Drosophila melanogaster: one gene and its partners. The protein of the gene in region 3 interacts with the protein of the main gene of each other region in a pairwise test. Each region holds a gene or a part of one and is shown on either strand. Other genes may lie near its edges. The genes, in order: RNASEK, CG3500, Nep3 and Mpcp1.

Region 1 (5,404 bases), on a different chromosome or scaffold from region 3:
GGTGCCCAGGGAACACCACGGGGAGGCCACTACAATTGTAATGGGTCCTATATTTACATGAACTTCGCGTTTATTTTCCACTACTTACCAATTACTATTTGCGCTTATATTTCCGTACTTTACTATTGCAACACATTTTGGAAATTGTTATAATTGTAATTATAAAACAAAAATTTTCCAAAAAAAGTCATTACATTGAAAAAAAATTGTCTACAAATAATACGTTGTAGAAAATACTGCTTAAAAAACTGTTTATTACAAAAGTCTTGAAAAATCTTGAGGCACGAAGTGCGGACACAACGTCGCGAGCTGAATACTCTAATGACAATTATTTTAATATAGTCATTTTTGAAATTTATTTTGTGATATTATGATTCGGCTATTTCTATTTCTAAGCTTTATTAAATAATAGTAACGTTAAGGCAATGCAAAACAATAATTTTTCACATGGTGCCTATTTATCAAAAATAATATAGATTTAAAGTCTAAGAACTTTTAAGGTGAAGGGCATATTTTGTCAAATTTACAATGCATGAGCATACGTGTGCACACATACAGTTGTCTGCTATCACTGCAGGCGTCGAAAAGAGCTGTTCGCTGTAGCGCTCTCCGCTCTCTCGCTCTCGAACAAAAATTTGAGAGTATGGCACTACGCATCTGTTACTCTAGTGTCTTCGGTTCGGTGACTTGGTCCCTGTCTCCGGCTCGATGAACCAAAGGCAATGTTTGACGACCCTAAACGAAAATGCGTTTCCTTCTGGAAATAGGCTGATCGAGGATCATTTATCCTGCAGAAAGATTATGCTCCGTGCCACAAAGCCCGAATGATAGCCAAGTTTCTAAAGGCTGTTGGCGTCACTCTCTTGAATTGTGCACCTCAAAGTCCAGATTTAAATATAATTAAGAAATCTGGTCTCTTTTAAAACGGAAAATAACTGTTCCGTGACACAAAACTCGTTAGAAGGCGATTTCTGAAATCACTTCTCTTTTTAAAGAGATGATCCTTTACAATATGGAGGATTTAGTAAAGGTTCGACTTACTTACACACAAAAAATAGACATTACTATCATATTAAACCATTTAAAAGTTTCACTGAAAAAAGGTTTGGAGTTTATTTTGTCAAAATGCTTACCGACTAGTGTATGTGGATACAGCAACACAGCGCACAAGATAATCTCGTGTTCATATGTACATGTTACAGAACGACGTAACGTAACATAATTAATTACCAGCTTGATATAGGAAATCAAGACAGTAATGACCTTACTAACTACTTTAATTAATTTATAAATAAAATATTTGTAAGTTGGGTAATTTAATAATAGCTATCAACAAAATTAAAAACAGTACGAATAATTCATGTCTCGCCAAACCGTTCCACACAATATCAGTAATAACCGTAATAAACATTTAAAATACCTTTTTTTAGGTCTTCCGTAGGTAAAATTCCCGTGGAGAAATAAAATATCATTTCAACAATTTGTTCAGATTGACCTCTTTAATAAAAAAAAGTGCTTTCATGACTCTGAAGGAAATTCCGGAGTTTGGATTTATCGCTACTATAGTAATCAAATATATTAATTCTCAAAATTTAAATATATAACAGAAATAAGAAGTGAATGGCGCACTGAACACATGAAACATAAAAAATGAAGTGAATAGTCTTCTTTGGGGTTTAAAAAACACAAACTCCTCACTCCGCCCCTTAATACAATAAGCATGTTGTAACATTTAAATTGAACTTTAACTTTATTAAAAGGAAAACACCTCTAACAAATATATCGAAGGGAAAATTTCAATACTAGTTTTAAGTAGTTGGGAAACTACATCTGAAATATTAGTTGGCAGTTACTCTGCTATTCATGTAAAATTGCTGGGCGGAGAGCAACAAAGTCAAAACATATATACATGCGGCAATCCAGCAGTTGTAGGCATTCTGAAAAAATTTACCTTGCATTAGCAGACGTATGTGTACATATGGTTGTTGTAAAAAGAGAACATACCTGATTGTATGCTCTATTTGCAGCTGCATAAAAATCTTCCAACGAATGGTATTCCTCCTCAAGAGGTAAGTCCTCAATGAGGGCTACACTATTTATGTAGAAGAATAGACCCATTAAAACCTTTAACATAAATATGTAAGTGGTTACTTTTTGAAACTTTGACGAAATTAGATTCTCAGTACTCACCAATTGGACAATACCCCAAACAGAGATAATAAGACCACAAAGTGATAGTTTCGGGCCACAGATTTTCATTTTCTTAAATTTTTGTTAAACACTTTTAAGAGAATAAAAAGTTTCAGCAAACACAATTCGTCACAATTCCTCAATGAAAACTGTGATTTTGTCAGGTGAACATATCATGTGACCAAACTTTTGGTGTGGCTGTGCACAAATAAAATTAAAAAACTGATGCAAATGTAAGCGATAAAAAACATAAGCTCGTCAAACTAGCGTCGGTGAGCTAGTGACGATTTAGGAGCGGTGGAAAAGGAACAAGGGCCGTTTTAGTAATTTTAGTCACTGCCCGGAGCGTGTGAAGCGCAATGGTCAACATTCTACTGCCCGGAGCGTGTGAAGCGCGATGTCAGCATTCTGCCGTGAGCGCTGCTTCAGAAAACGGGCTACTTCATATTAAGCTTAAGTTTTCTGTCTTTAGTTTTAAAACTCATCAGAACGCGCATAGTCGCATAATAAATCGCAATACACAAAATCGTTGCCTGTTAATTTATATAACAATATATATATAATATATTATAATATATATATTATATATATATATATATATATACAATACAATACAATAAGTATAATAAATAAATATATATATACATATATATATATATAATAATAATAATTTTAATATTATTAATTTTATTATTATAATTATTAATATTTTAATATATATGTCGGAGATTGAGTAGATCTAACATATTATTTGAATTATTATTTGAATGTAACCGACATTTGTTTATTGATCCGTATGTTAAGGATGAGCAGCGAGTAATAAAATTCACGGAATGAGTTCCGTTATTGAGTGGGCATCATTTGTGTGTGTATTCAAATTAGCATGGCGCCTGTTGTTGTTGTGGTAGAGTTTTGTGGAAACGAAGTAAGGATAAAACAAAAAAAGAATTTTGAAGATGAGAAATAGAAGAATAGCATCGAGAAGGCGACGCTTGAGTAAATAAGTCTGGTGAGAACTGCCAAAGAGACAACACGCAGGCGACTTGCTGTGCTAATTAATTGGACGCTCGGCTTCACCGACATATATATATTATATTATATCATATATATATATTAACATATCCATTCTATACCCACAACTCCCCAACCACACACACTATCGTAAACAATTACACACACACATCAATGTGTAAGTACGAAATGTAATTAAAGATCGAGAGCCCTTCGATTAAGCTTAGCTGTCAATTACTCACAGCAAAGTGCAAAAGTCCGAATTCCAAAGTCTAGACTCTGCGTCGAGCCAACGTCCACGTCCCCTAAATATCCGATCACTTGGTGAACCAACTGAAATAACAAAAACTTCCGCCCACACAATCGTCTCAGGATTCTCCAATTAATCCTATTTTTCGGAAGCTCCTCTCTTAACAGGAGAATAGACGTTGATAACGTTGTTCTCTTAAGCTTCGCTCTTAAGCTATCCCAATCTGCCTACATAAACCCAAACATGCCCCAATACGTTAGTTCAGTTCTGAGTACGTTATCAATCGCCATAACCCTGCTTAAGATTGAACCACGCGAATCGGCGCTAAAGTGAACATAAAATCGTAATACAATTAACTCTTTTATCCGCAAAAGAACTACTTATAATCGGTGGTTGACACGCAATAGTCAAACCTACTGCATACGGTCAATAAAAGTGTAAAAACAAAAATAAAAATAAAATCATCAGCCATGGCAACCGAGCAAGTCAAACTGTTATCGGAATCCCATCTGAATCAAGCCTTAAGCCAAATTAGGCAAATACCCACATTCAGTGGTAATACCCCAGAACTCAGTGCCTTTATCCGAAAGATCGATTTCATACTTCCAGTCTATCCATCAACCGACACCAGTTAAAAACATGTATTCTTCAGCGCAATTGAGATGCAACTCGCCTCGCGCGATAAACGAGTTCACATGCGTCTGATTTGGTTTTTCCAAAAATATTGACAACCTACAATTTCGTCTTGTCTTATTTTTTGATAGGGTTTTATCAAAGACTCTAGAATAACAAGATGCGTACCGCCATAACGACTTTTTGGCACACGATTTTTTCGGCGTGGCTCTAGAGGTGGCTCCAGGCTCTCCCGAATTTTTGTTCAAGATCGAGAGAGCGGAGAGCGCTACAGCGAAAAGCTCTTTTCTACGCATACAGTGATAGCAGACAACATGCATTGTAAATTTGACAAAATATGCCCTTCTCCTTAGAAGTTCTTAGACTTTTAAGGCAATGCAAAGTCTAAGTCTAAGCAAAGTCTTAAGTCTGTATTATTTTTGATCAATTGGCACCATGCGAAAAATTCTTGTTTGCATTGCCTTAACGTTATTATTATTTGAAAATAGATTAGAAATAGCGAAATCTATGTACATCACAAAATAAATTTCAAAAATGACTTTACATTAGAATATTTGTCATTAGAGTATTCAGCTTACGGCGCGTAAAAAATTAAATTTGTAAAATTTATGTTTTAGATTACAGTAGTTATAATAATTTCCTTTGTATTTGCTTTAATTATTTAGTATATTTATTAGTCATTTGATATTTTTTAATATTATTATAATATTTAATATTGATATACATTTTAATATTATGTATGTAAATAATCAAATTTTATTATTTAAAGTGCACATTAGATTCAGTTGTTTTTTCATATTCTTTTTTTTATATTCAAATTTGATATTTTTTAACAGCGCGCAATTTCATCATATTGCTACGAAATTGGCCAAAACTCCCCAAATATGTAAAATCGTTTCTTCGATCAGAATTGATTTCGTCCCGAAAATCGTATTCTAGCACAACACGCACACATATAGGCGTTCTCTTCTCTTTTTTTACTCACACAAGCAAGAAAATTCTATTTTTATATTTCTTACGCTCTTAGCGTTCACAATTCGTTCACATTTTTAATCGAAAGAAATTTTGATTTGCAAAAAACTTTTTTCACGTTCACTTTAGCCCAAAACTAACCCGCCCACATTTGTTGGATATTTTTTTATAATTTTATTAGTTCTTTCGAATTGCCAAAGAACTTTTGACCGAACCGGTCAAATTTTACATTTTTTCTTATGAAATTTCGCGTTTGCATTCCCACTAGCTAAGTAATGGGTATCTGATAGTCGGGAAACTCGACTATCTTTATGATTTATTCTTTTTTTTTTTATTTATAATATAATA
Region 2 (5,276 bases), on a different chromosome or scaffold from region 3:
TCCAGCTGGTCATCTCGGACAGCTGTACTGGCGCTGCGATCCCGCCATGAACAAGCATGTGGAGGGCCTATGACCTATGGCCATGTCGCTTGTCTGCTGCAGGTCTTTGTGGAGAACGAAATCAACCTGAGTCCCGACCAGAGCTGCATGAACTGCTGCGGAGGCTGCCATGACACCCGCTCGAGCGGTTGTTACAAGGCGGAGGAGGAGTTCTGTGGCCAGCAGGCCGCTTGCAAGGGAAGGCTCTACAAATGCAACACCATCGAGTCCGAAAGTTTATAATCTTTGTGGGGACCAAAAACAACAGCTAAGACCGCTGCTACCAAAGGTAATCCCTATATTAATATATAAACCATAACAAAATAAAATCCCTTTTATTTCCAGTGTGGATTTCGATCTAGAAACCATATGTGCTTGAGTTTAGATAACGTAAACAGAATAATTTTAACAGCTAACAGTTGGCGCGCAACTAACAGCTCTGTTAGCCCGGCCGGCGCAACAGCGAAAAATCCCTAGCGCTTCACCAAAAATCCCGCACCGGCGGCTTGATCTCTGTGACATTGAAGTTGCGATTGAAAGCAAGCCTGTTAACCACATGTTATCTGGGTTTTTGCGACGAGGCGTCCAAAGAGCACGGTTCACCTTCACCCAGCAACTCGGCGAAGATCTTTTGAGCGGCGCAGCGGCAACACTCCACACCCAGATACGCATGATGGATGACATTGCGCTGGACGCGGCCAAGAAGACGGCGGCCCGCACGGCGGTGGACCAGTGGGTGACTGAGGATACGAAGATTCTGGGGATTGGCAGCGGATCGACGGTGGTGTACGCCGTGCAGCGGATCGCGGAGCGCGTGTGGAAGGAGGGCGAGCTGACGGACCTCATCTGCGTGCCCTCGTCCTACCAGGCGCGCCATCTGATACTCGACTACAACCTTAACCTGGGCGATCTGGACAGGAATCCCAACATAGACGTGGCCATCGACGGGGCCGACGAGGTCGATCGCCATATGGTGCTGATCAAGGGCGGCGGCGGCTGCTTGCTGCAGGAGAAGGTGGTGGCCTCCTGCGCCAAGCACTTCATCGTGGTGGCCGACTACACAAAGAACTCCATCCGCCTGGGCGAGCAGTGGTGCCGCGGCGTGCCCATCGAGGTGGCGCCCATGGCGTACGTGCCCATCAAGCTGCACATCGAGGCGCTTTTCGGCGGCGAGGCCTCGTTGCGTATGGCCAAGGTGAAGGCGGGACCCATTGTCACGGACAATGGCAACTTCCTCCTGGACTGGAAGTTCATCGCCAACAGGGAGTACGACTGGGACGAGGTCAACCGCGCCATCACCCTCATCCCGGGCGTCCTGGAGACGGGCCTGTTCGTGAACATGGCCCACAAATGCTACTACGGCATGGCCAATGGCTCGGTCAAGGTCCAGAACAAGTAGTTCTTGGGCGGAGTTGGGGGAGCGCTTTTTGCATTTATGTTTCACCAAGTTGTTCCTTAAATTTTAGGTTTGCCATTTGTAATGGATTTAAATACATATTGAGTTCTTAGCCGAGAAAACGATGTGTCCTAACTTGAAAGTTTCAGCAAACGAATCTTATTCAGCTTCTTCATTCAAGTATAACATCGAAATACGTCCAAATCACCACAAAAGGGTATCCATTACACTGAAATCAGACCCACTAAATCTCAATTGGTTACAGTTCCACTACAATAAAGTGGATGTCGAATGTCAGTTCACATGCGCTTTGTATACTTTTGTCTCGATTGCGGCTACAAAAATAAATAAACATTAAACAAGCTAGATCTAGAAGGCCTTCTTGGTCCGCCCAGGGAGCAGGGCCTCTTTCAGATACTGGAACAGCGACAGCAGGCCCTGCTTCTTGTTACGCGAGAAGTAGTTGCTGACCACGTCCGGACTGCGCCGGCTCTGGTCGCTGACGGTGGTGGGCAGGACACTGTCATTCGCACTCAGCGAGACGAACAGGGCGAAGGGCACGATCCACATGCAGATGGTAAAGTAAGCCAGCACCTGAAAGTGTAAATTTCCTTTAGGCGTTTGCTGCGGCCTAATTCAAGTTGTATGTAAACAAACTGATGATGTGGATACACAATGCAATGCATATTGCATATAATGGCTGTATAAAAACGTACATACGTTTGTACGTAGCGAATGCGCTTTCCATGACTAATGATTTATGCAATACATATGCTCACCTGCGTGAAAGGCACATAGACAGTGACGAAATGCTGGAAGGCCAGGAAGTGATTGACCACCAGCATGGCCAGGGAGCCCAGCAGCGGCAGCGAGAGCAGGCGCACGAAGGGGAATCCACTCATGATGCCCAGGTGGAAGCCCTGCGCCACCAGTCCGCAGATGATAAGGCTCCACGGCAGGTCCTCGAACAGCAGCAGCAGGATGTAGACGAAGATCGTGAAGCTGATCAGAAATAGGATGCACTTCCTAGCCGCCGTCGTGTACTCCTCGGCCAGCTCCGCCAGATAATAGAGACCAGCCACTGGAAATACAAATTGCAGACGTTGCAATTGGACAAGTGCGGCTGCACGGCGACAGCTCACCAATCGACAGGGTGAGGAACACGATCTGTATGGCCAGCGAAACCCATCCCAGCAGGTACAGGACGGCCATCTTGCGTACTTCAGGCGGAATCGAAGGATATATACGGCTCAAATCGGCCGACAAAACAAAACAATCCGATTAGAGTGGCGTGTGGTGTGTGGCTCGAAATACCAAACATTTAATCAGCTTGTATAGAAACGGGCACACTAATGCGCAGAGCTGCCAGATATTCTCGTTCCAACGCTTTTTCAAATATTTTTTGTGGGAAACATGAGGAATTTAGGATTGAAATCCATATGCAAACTAACTAATGTGAGCAGCAGCATCCATGGACCATGACTTAAAAATATCTGCAAATGAAGTAAAAATACATTCATAAGTAAAACGAGTTCAATTCTTTATAAAATGTCGGATATCAAAACCGAATATCTTAGAAAGCAACCGTTTCAAATTTCATCTGAAGCAAACAGTCTAGATTCTGCTTTTGATATCCTGCAAATTGTCCAGCCTTTTCGAAAAATCCGTAACTTTTCGTATGTGTTCCATACTCGCACGTGCAAGGATGTTTTGTGCAGGAATAGTGCAGCGTAGACTGAGCATGGGTCTCAATCCAAAGTGAGTAGCGCTTGCACATAACTCCTTCCCTTAAACACCCCATCCGAAATCCCTGAAGACTCGGCCTGGCGCCCAGGAAGCTCTACTCCGAGGAGAAGAAGCCCCCGGGTGTTTTCCTTTGGGGCGGCGGACTTGGCAAGCTGCAGGGCGGTCTCAAGGAGGAGGAGTACTTCATTTCGTTGACCCAAACCCTCGTGGGCAAGATGCGGGACAAGAAGGAGCCCGGCGACTACCTGCCCAACTGGGACGAGTTCCAGAAGACTCTGGACCACGCCTCGCTGGGCAGCACCTCTTCCATGAACAAGCACAAGAACGTACTCGAGGAGGCCTTTTTCCTGAACAAGGTTGCTATAAGTCTCCAGCTCATTTTTCTTCTAATTTCCATTGCAATATCTTTGCTTTCAGACTGCAGACGACATCAAATTATTGCACGATCGTGCCCAAGAAGAGCTCAAATCTCGCCATACTGCCACAGAACTGGAACTCGAATCAGATCCCCAGAACACCAAATAGTTAGTTGTTTATGTTTAAATGCCATACACCGATTTCTTCAGGCGCATCATCATCATAATCACCCAACTTATCCACATGACACGGCTCAATAAAATTGTTAGTTGCAATCTTTGTAGAAAGTTTTTATGGAATTAAGGAAGTAATTAAAAATCCATTGGGTCATCCCAGTTGATTAAAACTAAAGTTCTTTAGCCCCTATTTAGTGAATGTGTTTCTATTTCCGTGCCCACTCAGTATTTTTAGCAGCGCTATTGTCCAATGTTCACCAGTTTGTTTTCGCAAGTCGTCGAAATCGAAATTTCAGCGGCTACTCATCCCTTATATATAGCTTAACTATACTATATAAACCGATAAACCGATAGAGGCAAACATGTTTACACTGCGACGATTCAGTCAGCGCTGGTATCCCAAGCAGATTCAGTAGGTTTCGCGATTTGGAGAGCAGTTGCGTAAGATTCTAGAACCGTTTTCGAATCGCTTTGCAGGCACTTGAAGATGTCGCAGATCGGAGAACTGGGCAGTGGAGCCGGCAACGGCGGCGGCGGCGGCGGATCCATCCGGGAGGCGGGCGGTTCATTTGGCAAAATGGAGGCTGCTCGCGAGGAGGAGTTCTTCTACAAGCAGGTGAGCTCTTTCTACTACACCAGACTGTACACGAGGTAAAGATTCCATGTTTCCCTGCAGCAAAAGGAGCAACTGAAGAACCTGAAGACCAAGACGGAGCCTAAGGCACCAGAGGCTCCCAAGAAGTGAGCCCAACCAGGAGCTTTGAACTCCACTAGCTTAACTATGGTTAGGCTGGATTGTCTGAATTGTATTTAATGGGAATGGTACTCCAAATATATTTTGTTTAATTTACAACTGGTTGTGTATTGGATAACTCCCATCCCTGATCAGCTGATCGCCCCGCGGCTCACCCAAACTGCAAGCCTAAACTTTCCCCAGACCGCTCCACTTCCATTTGTTTACGAACAGCGCTGCAAAGCGGAACAGCCGACAGATAAGCGTCAGTGTAAGCGCAGCTGATAACGGGCGGCGGAGTGGCGACCTAAAGACGCATGGACCGCGCAGGCAGATGGAAACAGTTCGCACCGGTTCGCTCGAGTGTGCAGTAGATGATCCAGCGGCAGGAATGGCGGCCACGATCCAGAACACCCTGAAGGTGGCGCTGCGAAAGCGCATGAAGGATGCACTGAAGGGCATCGACGCGGAGGCCATCGCCCGGCAGTCGCAGGCCGTCACGGCTAAGGTAACATTGGTTTGGCTGGGCCCCAAGGTTATCAAGTTAATTCCCAATCCCCCTAATCGGCTCGATCGCACAGGTGCTGCAAAGCGAGATCTTCCGGCAGGCGCAGCGGGTGAGCATTTACCTGAGCACAGCCTCGGAGCTGGACACCACGGCGCTGCTGTCGGAGATGTTCCGCCTGGAGAAGATGGTCTTTGTGCCCACCTACGAGGGCAGCAGGATGAAGATGGTGCGGCTGCGCGGCATGGAGGAGTACGAGAGCCTGCCTCTGACCAAGTGGAACATAAAGCAGCCGGACTTCAAGGAGGCACGCGAGGATGCCAT
Region 3 (6,895 bases):
GCTAATATTCGATTTTTTTTGCGACATTTGAATATCAAATTTGCTTCGTTTACAAAATAATTTAAACTTTCACTATTATGAATAAATTTTTGTTTAGTAATGTTCAATGTAGTTCTCTAAGCCTTCTGGGCTTACCAAAATCAAATCAACTAATTCATTCTGACAACAACCCACCTTCCAGTAAAAAGCATTCTATGTTTTAGTAAATTTAGTAAAGAATTTACACAACTGAAAAGTTTACATAAATTAAGCTTAGAGACTAATTCACAAAAAAAAAAAACGATCCCACACTGCAACCGCATCAAAATCTCATGCCGCCCAAGGCCAATCCAAGTGCTATGGTCACGGTGACGCCCACCGAGCTGCCGATGATTGCTCCGCCATTCTGGTAGCCATAGGTACCCGGGTAGTTGGGGTCCGGCCGTACGCCCATGTAGCCCGGCTGGCCGGGATGGCCCACCTGGTTGTTGTAGGAGAAGGGACGACCGTGCTCGTCCGTACCGCTCACGTAGTAGGCTCCATTGCCACCCGCTCCACCGTAGGTACCACGCGAATCGATGCCGGCGTATCCGTAGCTGAACTGCGGATCCTGGCCACTCAGACTTCCCGGCGGATGCATCCCGCCGGACTGGGCGCTCGAATAGACGCCAACGCCGGCCGCATTTCCATTGTTCCAGTGCACCGTTCCGGCCTGGGCATCCACTGGATTCAAATGAAATGTGCTTGAATTAGTAACGCATGTAAAAGGTAACTTTCCTTGACCACAATGTACCCGCCACTTCTCGTGGACCAAACATGCTACATGGTCGTTATCAAAATGAGACCTAATACTATTACACATTTTAAATCAAATAGTTTAAAAATTTTGCTTTCATATTTGGTTTCAAATAGAAGAGATCAATAATTTGCTGATAATATCGCAGTGCTTAATTCTCCATTAGAAGTTGAAATTGAATTTGTTTACTTGGCACCGTCGAAATGGTATCGTGTGTGCGAATGCGATGTGTTATTTTCCATGGAAAAGCCGCTGAGGTTTATACGTATGTTTATTTATCGTATTTTTTGTGCGATTTTTCATATGTTCTGTTAGCGTTTCACTCACCAGCACTAAAATGAACTAGTGCCAATCCGATAACAATGACGATCAGAATGCGATTGAAATTCGACATGTTTTCCGAATGCGCGTTTGACTTCAACTAAACCGCTTCCAAAGTGCCATTGACGGTTTTAAACTCGATTCCCAAGCTCGGCTCTCATGTTATGAGTAACAATAGCGATTTTCTGCTGCCCTGAGTCATATTATTTGGTGTTTATTTACTCAATTTGAATGGAGCTGTAGTTTCGGTGGGGTATGATCAAAATAGGCACTTTATTTAGCACTGAAATCGAAAATCGAAACAACAGATTAAACATCTTAAATCTTTTTGGGTAAAATATTACCACTAGGTATCATATAGTCGAATTGCACAAAAATTTTCTCTGTTACAAGTTTACAACCTGTATTTATCTCACTCTGTAATTAGATATGACTTGTGACTTGAGATTAACAAAATAGTTTCGGTTAGCTGCAGGTAATGGGTATCTTTTAGTCGACGCACTTTTCTCAATTAATTTGCGTCTGCTTTATTAAGGAATCCTCAAAATAAAATTTAGCTATACTAGTGGTATTAATTCTTCTTATTGTTCATATCCATTCATCGTTTATTTGTTCCACATGCAGATGAGATTATTTTCTTTTCGATCAAAGAACATAAAACCGCGGTCGTACTTTATTTTCCCAAACGAGAACACGCAACTTCAAGTGCTTTCATGTTCGAGTGTCGAGATGTTATTTTTTTTTTTTTTTTTGCTGTATAGAACACGATAATTGGTTGGGTCATTAATGATATGCACGACACGGGCCGGGGTCATTTTGGGTTAAGGTGTGCTCCCATGTTGGTTTGCCCCAGAAGTCGAGATACATACATACATACATATATGTACATAGATCTTCTGGCGAATGGGGAATGCCGAGTCACAGTGCTTTGATGATCGCCCGAATTGTATTCGAACCTTCGTTGATCTTTTATGACCAAGTATATTTTGCATACATATTTTTCTAAATATTAACATATGCATGTTGTATATGCATATAAATAAACAAATATATATATATATATATATATTTATATATGTGTGTATTGTTGTCCGTCCGTTTCGCACTTTTCAGGTGAGTGGCGTTCGGAGGCGGGCAAACAATGCAGGTACGTTGTGGCTACCGTTCGACGGAAAATACATACAAACATACATATACATATGTACATACATGTATGTAGAAAACGAAAAGCCTCACAATACAATTGGTGGGCATGTGCGAATTGTTTGCTTTCTCAGTTGTGACGTAAAGCAATTTAGGTCGGCCGATAGGGTTATGCTAATGGACTATTCAATACCTTATGCTTGTATTTTTACTGCTTTGCCGAAGATAGTGAAATTGAATAGTGACTTTGTCATTCGACTGACATGTTCATTGACGTTCATTATTCATAGCCATTGCTCGCACAGGATTCATTGTTTCTAGAAGCTGTATGCTGAATCTCAATCTTCTAGCTTTTATAGTACCTGAGATCTACGGATACGGACAGATACGGACAGACGGACATGGCTAGATCGACTTGGCTATTGATCTTGATCAAGAATATATATACTTTATATAGTTCGAAACGCTTCATTCTGCCTGTTACAATGCTTTTTTAACGAATCTAGTATAACCTTCTACTCTACGAGTAACTGGTATTCAAATTTAGCTGATTAATTGAGAATTACGAGAATCGTTAGCTTTGGATACTCGATTACGTGGGTTAAACCGATAGCTTGTTGAAGGGCACTGTGATTGTCTGGCAACTCGTTGCGCGAAGCGTTGCCACCGTTCAAACAGATCCTGCGCAGTGGACCACGTTCTCCGGCAATGGGTTCAACTCGCTCCCTCCTGCCACGCATTTCTCTCTCTGTTTGTGTGTGTTTTGCTCATCTAATACGTTTGTGTTATGGTTTTTCCATTTTCGAGGGAGTCCAACCACCCGACTCCCAGCGCCGAGTGAAATTTGGAGAGAAAAGGCTAGTTCGAGTGCGATTACCGCTGCTGCTGGTGCTGGAGCTGGCTGTCAGTGGCTCGAGTTGGCAGTGTTGGTGGATACCGTTGCCTTTTTGTGGCTCAGAGCGGTTTGTTTGACCGCGAGCGGAATGCAGATAAGCGCGTTTTAAATGAATCACTGAACGATCGAATGTTATACCCATCGAGGGTCGGCCAAACTTAATCGAAAGTGCACCAATAAACGGCAAAGGGTCGAGAAAAAGCGAGCGCAGGGAGCTGGAAAAGTTGCATTGCCTTCTTTCTAGCGCACAAAGAAAATGAGCGCAAAGGTAGGCCAAGAGCGCGCCTCTCTTTTGCTGAACGTGTGTGTGTGTGTGTGTGAGTGTGTCAGTGTGTGAGTGTGCTGTATGTGCAATCAGAAGTACCACCCCACCACACCACACCACTTCCAAACAGTCCGATTCAAAGTCATAATTTCATTTGCATTTGAATAAATGCATCCCAGGCACACCACCCTCTCACCACTCACACATCTAAGCTGCTCCGATTTTATGGTCCTTGGTATAGAGAAATTGTAAGGAAAGCTGCACAAATGAAGTAGCTACCATATGGTATACCAAATAGCCAGGATACTCGCAGCCAAATCGAGAAAGGAGGTGGCATAACGACAGATAATGACGAGTCGAGAGCACTCATTCTACCAGATTTCAACTCAGTGCAGCTCAAGTGAAATCCCATTGTGGTGGTGATTCGGTGAATCCCTGCAGTTATCATCTGTTGCCCTGCAAAAAAAATGGCATGAAGAGCCGTTTATGAACTCGGAGAATCCGAAGTAGCCATCATTGACTTTCACATGGGCTCCGTTCGGTTCATTAAAACTCCCTTGGATGGACGCTTTGGTAGAATAGTCGTAGTAAATGGTTGAGTGAAATATCCTTATTTCGAGCATAAGACTAAGGTATATAATAACTTAGTTAATCATTTTCAATGGGACCTAAAGTTGCATCATATTCAATCATGTTATGAACTTAATATATTTCCCATAAAAGTATTAAGACGTCAATTCCGTTGATTTGCCCATTAAGTCGAACCTTTCAATGGTTTTCTACCTCCTTGTTTTTCAATACATTAGCCGATTTGATTGGTGGCAAAAGGAGGGCTCGTTAGGCGTAACGCCATTTAATGCGTGTTTACATTCAACAGTCTGCTAAATGTCAGTTGGTGTGCAGCCTGTGTTTACATTGCGATGGAAAATCGTGGCGAGAAGCAGTCCAAACTGAGGGATACCTCTTGCTTAATGTGTTTTTAAATGTGGTTCTATGTGGCCCATCCATTTTCACGTGTATTATATACCTATTGTATACCTGCAATATCATATCGCCCCCATCCATCATATGTTATTTATATCGCTTGTTGTCCGACACCAGATTACGTTCGTAAATCTATATCGAAAGCTTAAAGATACCAATTTGTTGGCAAACAAGATCGAGTGCGAAATCATATCATATGGCGCCTTTCCGATCCCCGATCCCAAATCGACATTAGAATATTATTCGGCATACCGAAAATGGGTGGGTTGATATAGAAGATATATAGAAGTGCACATAAGCAAGGCCGAATCTTTTGGTGTATATTTGCATTGTGTTAATTGAATACATATGCCGCTCCTTTTCATTTTAATGCGCCCAGTATATCCATTTCGGCTACATCTTGGCACATATTGCCGCAGTAAACACGCACACAGCCGCCAGTCAATTAATTTGAGTACAATGCAAAACTATCCAATATAACGCGCCGTTGGCCCGTAGATGTTTTCTGCTTTCGGCGGGCATTGTTGAATTGGTTGGTCGCAGAACTCGGAACTCGCAGTCCCTGAGTTCCGAAGCTCTCCGGGCTCGACCGCCAGTGCCTTGCGAGCGGTCATGGGCTAAGCACAGATAGTATCGTTGCCGCGCTCTGTTTTCGTATAGCTCCTCCCGTCGAAGTTCCGAAAAATAAACACACTACCGCATACCGTGCTCTCCCCATACACAAAGATTAACCAAAATGTGGCTTTCCGACTGCCGTTCGGTATGTCCGTGCTTCAGCTCCTGTATCCCATTCACTTTTAGTTGGGCACCTTAGTTAGACATGGAATGCTGACAAGTGGTTGAGAATGGGTTTTGTTCATGTTCATGTTTCAGACTTCGCGATTTCTTTCGAATGGATATCTAGATAGCGAGTAAAAATAGTCCAAAGATTACGAGGAACTCTTAGTACAAAATTATACATATATTTCTCTTAAGTTGTTGTGCATTACCTTTTTCTATTTCTATATTTCCATATAGTTTGGGTAATTTGCAAATTGTTCCTATGATGAATGCACATTTTCTGAAAACCCAAGGCATATCGTAAACTTGGAATGCTCTGCTGACTGCTGAAGGGTTAACACTTTTGAGTACATAGAGCACCATATGAAAATGGGCAGCAGTGGGGGATGTGAGAGAAATGTAAAGCACAAGGCGTTGAGTGAGCGCTAAAGAACGCACGGTATCTATACAATCCGAGCGGAAAAGCTTCGGTCTACTTATCAGATGCCCTAGACCAAAACATGTGATAACAGATAGCAGCAACATATTTAGATTATTAGATACACGTTGGTAGGCAATTTGATGGGTTTGCAACAATTCGATTCTCATTCCAGATGACGCGCTACAAGCAGACCGAATTCACGGAGGACGACTCGAGTTCCATCGGCGGCATTCAATTGAACGAAGCGACCGGCCATACGGGCATGCAGATACGCTACCACACCGCCCGGGTATGTAAGAAACCTGTCGGGGTAACACCGTGCATCCGTGCAATGCAATTCAGTCGGATAGCCACTTAGTTGTCGTTGGGCTTCAGCTTTATCTTTGTGGCAATGACCCAGAAACGAGTGGCAAATGGGGCCAAAGTGAGCGCTTTTCTCATTTGCTCGAAGGTTGCCAGTTGACAGTGAAAAGTCTGCTCTTATGAGTGGGAGCGCGTTGGTGTGAGCTTTTCCCTCTGCGAACTGACATGAATACCCTATCTGGTGACAGGGTAACGATGGCTTTGAGAGGCGGTTCGTTGTTCAAATAAATTTAAACTTCATGTGATATTATTCCATAGATATACGAAAGCACTTGACCGTATACAACTGTATCAACAAAATGTCTAAAAGCAAGTTAAATTACTATAGAATTTAAACAGTGTGGTACAATATTTGTCTTTGGAGACTGCATTTCATGAGTCGTTGCGGCTTCTGAAAAGCCATTTATCTATATCTCAGCGATATATGGAAAAATTAGCAGGCAAGTGCCTTACGCTTACGAAATGTATCCCATGTAGATACCACCCCAATGTGTACAAGTTTGAACTCATTTGAACCGCCGTCGTCTTGTTTACAAAACACACAATTCGCTGGAAAAGATTTATGGGGCGAATCTTTTGTGCCGCCATGTGGAGGCCAGAATGATTGGTGGCTAATGCGGCGTTTTCATTTCACAGGCTACATGGAATTGGCGCTCGAGAAACAAGACGGAGAAATGGCTGCTCATCACGACTTTTGTGATGGCCATCACGATCTTTACGCTGCTCATCGTCCTTTTCACAGATGGAGGCAGCAGCGATGCGACCAAGCACGTCCTTCACGTCCAGCCGCACCAAAAAGGTATGGATTGGGTGAATGTAATCTAGGAATTTCCAAGGATACACAATCGTCTCCCTTTCAGATTGTCCTTCCGGCAATGAGCTTCCTTGCTTGAACAAGCACTGCATCTTCGCCTCGAGCGAGATCCTTAAATCGATCGATGTGACCGT
Region 4 (6,392 bases), on a different chromosome or scaffold from region 3:
ACTTTGCAGCAGCCACCAGGTGATTCTTGACCTGCACGGCCAACTCCCTGGTGGGTGTGAGAACCAGACCGTACAGAGGAGTCTGTACACGCTGGGCCTGCTCCTCCGCATCGCTCTCCTCATCACTGGCACCGGAAACATGATCCAGCTCCTCCGGCGGGGGCGTCAGCTCGTGCTCATCTGCCGCTGGCTCCGGCTGCTGTCCCTTCACCTTGGGCGCCTTGCGTATGCCAGAGCGAATATTCCTTTGCTTCAGCTCCATGATTCCGGCGAGCATGGGTATGCCAAAGGCCAGGGTTTTTCCGCTGCCCGTTTCGGCTGCTCCAAGGATGTCCTTTTTGCCGTGGATTGCAGCCGGCAGCGTCAGTGCCTGGATTTGTGTGGGCGTCTTGAAGCCTTGCTCGCCGAGGGCACGCAAAATGGAAGCGGGAACACCCAGGCCGTTCCAGGCGGACATATCTTCGGCTTCGCCTGTGGAGATGGGCACTAATTCGGGTGCTTCTTCGTCGGTCGACTCCTGTTGGTCTGCCGAATCTTCCGCCTTGACCACTTCTTCTTCATCGTCCGATGGTGGTGGCCTGAGCAATGCGAAACGATCTGCCGCGTGCTCATCACTGGACTCCTCACTGTTGTCGTTTTCCTTGCCCTTCGATTTCTTCTGTTTCCGCAGCTCCTTTCGCTTTTCACGCTTCTCGCGCAGTTTCTGCATTTTTTGCGCATGACGCTCGGCCAGGCGGGCTTTTTTACTGGTCCTAGCAGCGACCGCCACTTCATCCTCGCTTTCGGATTCGCTGGAACTCTCGCTGGATTCCTCCTCGTCGCCCTTCGATACCTTCCTCTTTTTCTTCTTCAGCTTGCGCTCTCTGTCTGGATTCCGGGATGTGGTCCTCTTCTGCGAGGACTTCACCAGCGATGCATCGTAGTCCTTGAGGACCTCCAGGCCAATTAATCCCTCGAAGCCGCCACCATCGTCGGATATCACGTGGCCCTTGATTTTAACCTTCTGCCAGTTTTCCGCCTTCGAAAGTGCAGGCTCCTTGGCTGCGCCTTTTAGCAGCTTTGGTGGCTTCGCTGTTTTCTGTTTATTCTGAACCATAATTATCTATTTTAACTTAATAAAAGTGAAATAAAAATGCAGTTCAAAAAACCGCGTGTTGAATGCTGCTTCTTCTTCCCTCTGTTTGTTGACATTGGACGGGGCTGTTAAGCTCAGCTGTTCGGTATTGAACTAAAAGTGCTAAATTAGTGTTGGAAAATATGGAGGTGTGCACTCGAGCTTGGCGGTTATTTTAAATTGAAATTTTCTTTTACCCCTTGATACAAAGAGCGTTTAATTTTTGTGTGGTTTTTATTTACTGTGTGGTTTATCTATACAAATCAAGTTTAATTCGATTAACATTCTGCTCGCTCTAAATTTAAAAACAGTTAGCTTATATTTGGTTTACTGCTCGCCAGTCACGCCCAGCTTCTTCTTCAGGGACTCGGGCATTTCTGGTGGTGGTGGGCGTGGCATGCGCAGGAACACCTTGACGGCATCGTAGATGAACCACTGGGCGGCGGTCAATGTGCCGATCATCACGATCCTGGGCACCAAACCGCCCCACAATCCTGAATTGGAAAAAAGCGAATGTTTTAGATGAGGAACAGGAAATCCCATCAAATGTCAGCACTTACCAGACCAACCCAGCTGCTTGGCCACGTCCAGGGCGGAGGCACCCTTGGCCTGGTTCAGCTTGGACACCACTGTGTCCGCCGGATGCGAGACGATGGCGCAGAACACGCCGGCAATGTAACCGGCGGCGAAGGTCACCACCAACTGCTCACCCTTGGTGCAATCGGCACGTGGCTTGGGCACCACATACTTGTACAGCAGCTCCAGCGTCCGCTCGAAGCAGGCGAACTTCATCATGGTGTATGGGATCTGGCGCATCCACAATGGCACCAGGCCCTTGTAGAAGGCGGTCACGCCCTCCTGGGCGGTCATCTTGGGCAGAGCCTCGCGCAATGTCTTGGCGAATCCGGGCGTGGTCTGGATCTTGACCTTGGCCGCCTCCATGGGCGCCAGGGCGATATCGGCGAAGAACTCAGCGGATGCCGATGCAGCCAAATAGAGTCCGGTTCTGTAGAGGAATGCGTTCTCCTCGCCGATAGCATCGCCGTACACCTTCTTGAAGACCTCGTACAGGCCGAACTTGCACAGACCCTGCATCGAGTAGCCGATGAAGGTGGGTGCCCATCCCTTGGCCAATCCGCGGACGCCCTCCTCAGCCAAGCTGATGCGGAAGCCGGTGAACACGCTCTTGTACTTGGCCGGGTCCACCTGCAGGCGGCACTTGACCAAATCCAGGGGCACCACCATGGTGTGTGTGGAGCCGCACGAGATGATGCCGCCCAGGCCGCACAGCAGGAAGTAGTGGTTCGAGCCGAATTCGCAGGAGTCTGCAGAGGTATTAACAATACTTATATATCCAACTCATTGGTGATTCCAGGAGGACTTGTCCCACTTACCACCCTCGGCAACGGCAGCGGCAGCGATGTTGTGGTTTCGAGTCAGCTGGCGTGGAGCAACATCCTTGAGGGTGGGGGTCACCACCGCGGTGGATGTGGGGGCGGAAGTGGGCGTGGCTGACTGGCAGTTGACGCTAGTGAATGGCGACTTGAACGTTGAGTTCTGCGCGGCATCGAACAGGGACTTAAACATGATGCCTTAGAGAAGTGCCTTTGAAAACAGAGATCAAGGGTTTCGAATGGGTTTAAGGTTAAGGTCATGATGTAACAAACTAAATTGCAAGTGGTACCGCCTACACTAAATACATTTAATCTATTTTAATTGTTTTTACATCTATAAATTAATATTTCGTACTTTCTTTTGTCAAAAACGTTTGAGCACATAGAAGTTATGTTCTTTAATCCTGAAAGATTATACAATTATTTAAAAACTGTTTTTCTAGTATCATTATAATTTAAAAATTAATTAGCAATAGTAAATGATAAGCATTGGCAATAATATATTCAATCCGAAATCACTTCATCAAAAAACTTTTTTTATAAACTTTCTTTTTTTTATCAAGTTATATTGAAATTGAGAATGTATACTTGCATTATTTTTTACATAACTATTGTTTTTTCTCATTCGCCAAACACTTTTTATGCATTGCGTAATGTTCTCCCCAGAGTACGTATTGTATCACTTTGCGTATATTTCGAAAATGTTCGAAAACAGAACGGTTTTCAAAACACCGAGCAAACTTAAACACTCACTTCAAAGTGCGGGGTATCGAAGGAGGTGAAGTGCAGATAGGGATTAGATATAGTTGAAGTATAGAGTCGTTGTTGGGCTGAAATGTGGGGACCCAAAGCAACGTTCGTCGTGCGCCAGACCAGAAAACCAAATGCAGTGGCTGCAATGGTATAGTGAGAGCTAGCAGCTTCGGTTCAGGGTTGCCAGCCGAGTGCAAAGCCAACCGGTTGATAACGGTTTCGAAACGGTTGCGTATCGGGTAAGAACTTACACAGCAAATGCACAGCTAATCAGTATAAAGACACTTTCTTTTTGAAGATATTGAATATGTTGGCTATCTCAGCCTTATGACATCGGTTAATGACGGTTATGAAATGGTTGGGTATCGGGTAAAAACTTACACCAAAGATCCATAGCTAATTTTGCTCTAAAAGCCACCTGACAACCCCCGAATAGAGATTGTTATTTATAAATTGGCAATTCTTGGCCACCACAGCAAAAAAAGAGCCCATTGAGCAGCGTCTGGTTTGCTTATAAAATGTATAGGTGTAAAAATAATTTCATTAACGTACGACCAGCTGATCGGAGGACGAGCAATTGGCAGCCCAATCGATTCATCCGATCGCTCTGGATCAAGGTTAAGATCTTGTGGGTTTTTTTTGCAAAATTTAAACATTTTATTTGAAACGTACAATGCTATTATAGATGTGTATTACTAAAATCAGTAGTTAGTAACTCTGTAGTCTTAGGGGCTATTACAAAAAACGATATACGACATGGTATCTTACAATCAGACAAGTAAGTACATTTCTGTTGTTGGTGCTTATCAAATAAATGCTAAAAATATCGGAAGTATATAGCTGCACATAATATAGTAATACTTTTTGCAATAAATTACAGTAAAATACAATACAATACAAATACAATACATCGATCAAAAATGGCAGAAACAATGTCATCACTTAATAGTTGGTGTTCGTCTCGTCCACGGAGGCTCTAATAGATACAGATGGGCCAACAATGGAGGCCACCGCGAGCTCACAAAACACATTGCGGGTTTGGAATGCGGGCCCAGCATTCTGGACTGTCGGCAGTTGAACTGCCCATTTTGGAAACTTACATAACTAAATTGGCAAACAAGCGGACATCTTACGCTCTAAAACTTAACAACGCTATTGTGGACTACGATTCGGCAGTTTCCATGTGCCGGTGCACCGTCACTGGTGCCAGGATATAGTGTGGCCGGGTCTTATCCCCCTCGAGGGGCAACGTCGTCTGCCCGTAGACACTACCACCTGCTGGCGTTCCGCGACATGGCGAGGGCGTGGCCTGCACCTGCTTGTAGCGTTCCGTCTTTGAGGTCGGCTGATTGCTCAAGTAGGGATGCGTGTTTGGCTGCGAGGAGGACTGCTGTCGATTCGTGGGACTCGATATGGATGTGGATATGGACATGGTGTCCGACTTGCTGTGCCGCTTGTCGTGCAGCAGCAAAGGTTCCGCCAGCGTGAAGCACTGCTGATCGGAACTGTCCTCGTGCGGCGTCATTGTGCTGTAGCCATGATCCGACTCACCGTTGGGTGGCCGGCGATAGCTACTGCCGCTGGAAACGTGGTAGGGCGAAATATCCGCCGCGTGCATCAGCTGCCGCTGTGCAGATGCGTGGTCATAGCCGCCACCAAGAGGCGGCTCGTCATGCGCTTTGCAATCGTCAAAGTTGAACCTGGACAGCGGCAAGCCGTAATTCTCTTCCTGTACCGAATCCACATAGAAGTGCTCCTGCGTCTGCGCATCCAGATTGTGTCTGTAGCAGTAGATGGCAAAGCCAATCACCATGACAAGCACCACAATGGCTCCTCCTAGCGGACCAAATGCAGAGTAAGCGTGCTGCTCTCTCTGCGGATTGTGGGCGGCCAGCAGTTCCATCTCGTCCAGCTCACCGTAGGGTGTCAGCGAGGCAAGTACTCCGTTGAAGCAGCTCGCCTGGGACGAGCAGAAGGAGGTCGAAAAACTATTGCCGTCCACATCCAGCTGGCACCATTCGCAGCCCATCACTCCGAGGCATTCTCTTTGAGTGGAATACGTTTCGCATATGCCAGCAGAACCAGGACAATTCGGCAGAGTACTCAGCAGCTGTGTGGTCGGTGGAAGTGCAATGAAATGTTCACTTGGCGGTGGACAGTACGGAAATTGTCGCGTGTAGTTGGCAAAGTACATGAGGGACGATGGTGAGCTGCTGTCTCCCACCATTGGACACTCGCAAGGACACTCGCAGTCTGTTTGGTCCATTCGCTTGCAGTTGAGACACTCTCTGTCGATTGTGCTGCACGGGCAAAAGGCGCCGCCATCGCAGCTGGAGTTTAGTACGGCTGCGAATAGATTGCTACCACGGATCAGGGCAATCGCGTACTTGGTTCGCTCGCCGTGCACTACGTTGCCCAGGATGCTGGACAGAGATGTGTTGAAGGCGTAGTAACGCTGCAACGTGCGGTTTTGGTAGCTGGCACAGCCGAGTTTTCGTACCAATTGGCCGTGGTTCAACATATCGTTGGCCAAATACGATTCCTTGTGTGTGAGGTGCTCATGTGGACGTCGCTGGTTTTTCGTGAGTGTGGCGGGCTGCAACATGCTGGGGTGAGCCAACAAATATCCCTCGTGCTCGAACAGCAGACACTTTATATGCGGCAGCTGGCAGATCGGTGTGCCCTCCAGGATCAGGCGATAGTAGAAGGCATAAGGAACGTCCAGGGCTACCACTGCTACGGGTCTGTCCTGCTGGGCAGAGTGCAGCGCATGGGCCTTGCCTTCGAAGATGGTGTGCGCAATGGTGATTATGTATCCAGCTCCTCCGGCATCCAGATACGGAGCTGTGCTAACAATCTTTCCAGGCTGCGCTATTGCCTGTCGGAACCATGGCCTTCGCGTTGGATCATAGCTGCTGCTAAGCAAGCAACCTGGGTACAATTGCAGCACTCCACTCACACTGGCGATGTACCGTCGAATGACATGGCTGCGTAGTGAGCCCCTTGCGTCCTGGTGCCGTCGTCTCAACTGCTGCATCGCCTGGTAAAGGACGCCCACTTCGTGCCGAATACTGGGACGCAGGCCCATATTGGCCAGCAGGCCACTTGAGTCGCGAAGATAGGCCATTATA

What was found.
Region 1: the proteins of Nep3 (region 3) and RNASEK interact in a two-hybrid assay, tested with the Drosophila melanogaster proteins (one large-scale study listed by BioGRID).
Region 2: the proteins of Nep3 (region 3) and CG3500 interact in a two-hybrid assay, tested with the Drosophila melanogaster proteins (one large-scale study listed by BioGRID).
Region 4: the proteins of Nep3 (region 3) and Mpcp1 interact in a two-hybrid assay, tested with the Drosophila melanogaster proteins (one large-scale study listed by BioGRID).

What each region holds. Positions count from the first base shown.
Region 1 is NT_033778.4:4,185,756-4,191,159, forward strand, and holds RNASEK (ribonuclease kappa), read right to left. Parts: upstream 2,373-5,404; 5' UTR 2,260-2,372; coding exon 2,191-2,259; intron 2,125-2,190; coding exon 2,005-2,124; intron 1,938-2,004; coding exon 1,839-1,937; 3' UTR 1,080-1,838; downstream 1-1,079.
Region 2 is NT_033778.4:23,354,642-23,359,917, forward strand, and holds CG3500 (uncharacterized protein), read right to left. Parts: upstream 2,925-5,276; 5' UTR 2,648-2,924; coding exon 2,578-2,647; intron 2,517-2,577; coding exon 2,215-2,516; intron 2,030-2,214; coding exon 1,805-2,029; 3' UTR 1,731-1,804; downstream 1-1,730. Other genes in the region: Rpi (Ribose-5-phosphate isomerase), read left to right, coding at 713-1,438; CG9875 (uncharacterized protein), read left to right, coding at 3,114-3,193, 3,252-3,537, 3,599-3,706; CG34423 (uncharacterized protein), read left to right, coding at 4,077-4,126, 4,192-4,330, 4,391-4,459; Mthfs (methenyltetrahydrofolate synthetase), read left to right, coding at 4,839-4,955, 5,029-5,276.
Region 3 is NC_004354.4:19,958,199-19,965,093, forward strand, and holds the start of Nep3 (neprilysin 3), read left to right. Parts: upstream 1-3,098; 5' UTR 3,099-3,402; intron 3,403-3,490; exon of another isoform or gene 3,491-3,647; intron 3,648-4,977; exon of another isoform or gene 4,978-5,143; intron 5,144-5,756; coding exon 5,757-5,873; intron 5,874-6,583; coding exon 6,584-6,746; intron 6,747-6,807; coding exon 6,808-6,895. Other genes in the region: CG43784 (uncharacterized protein), read right to left, coding at 1-27; CG12655 (uncharacterized protein), read right to left, coding at 302-702, 1,103-1,169. UniProt on the Drosophila melanogaster protein: Metalloendoprotease which is required in the dorsal paired medial neurons for the proper formation of long-term (LTM) and middle-term memories (MTM).
Region 4 is NT_033778.4:20,277,727-20,284,118, forward strand, and holds Mpcp1 (mitochondrial phosphate carrier protein 1), read right to left. Parts: upstream 3,402-6,392; 5' UTR 3,262-3,401; intron 3,212-3,261; exon of another isoform or gene 3,118-3,211; intron 2,884-3,117; exon of another isoform or gene 2,864-2,883; intron 2,720-2,863; 5' UTR 2,702-2,719; coding exon 2,509-2,701; intron 2,440-2,508; coding exon 1,675-2,439; intron 1,609-1,674; coding exon 1,442-1,608; 3' UTR 1,340-1,441; downstream 1-1,339. Other genes in the region: CG9143 (uncharacterized protein), read right to left, coding at 1-1,096; CG16868 (uncharacterized protein), read right to left, coding at 4,424-6,392.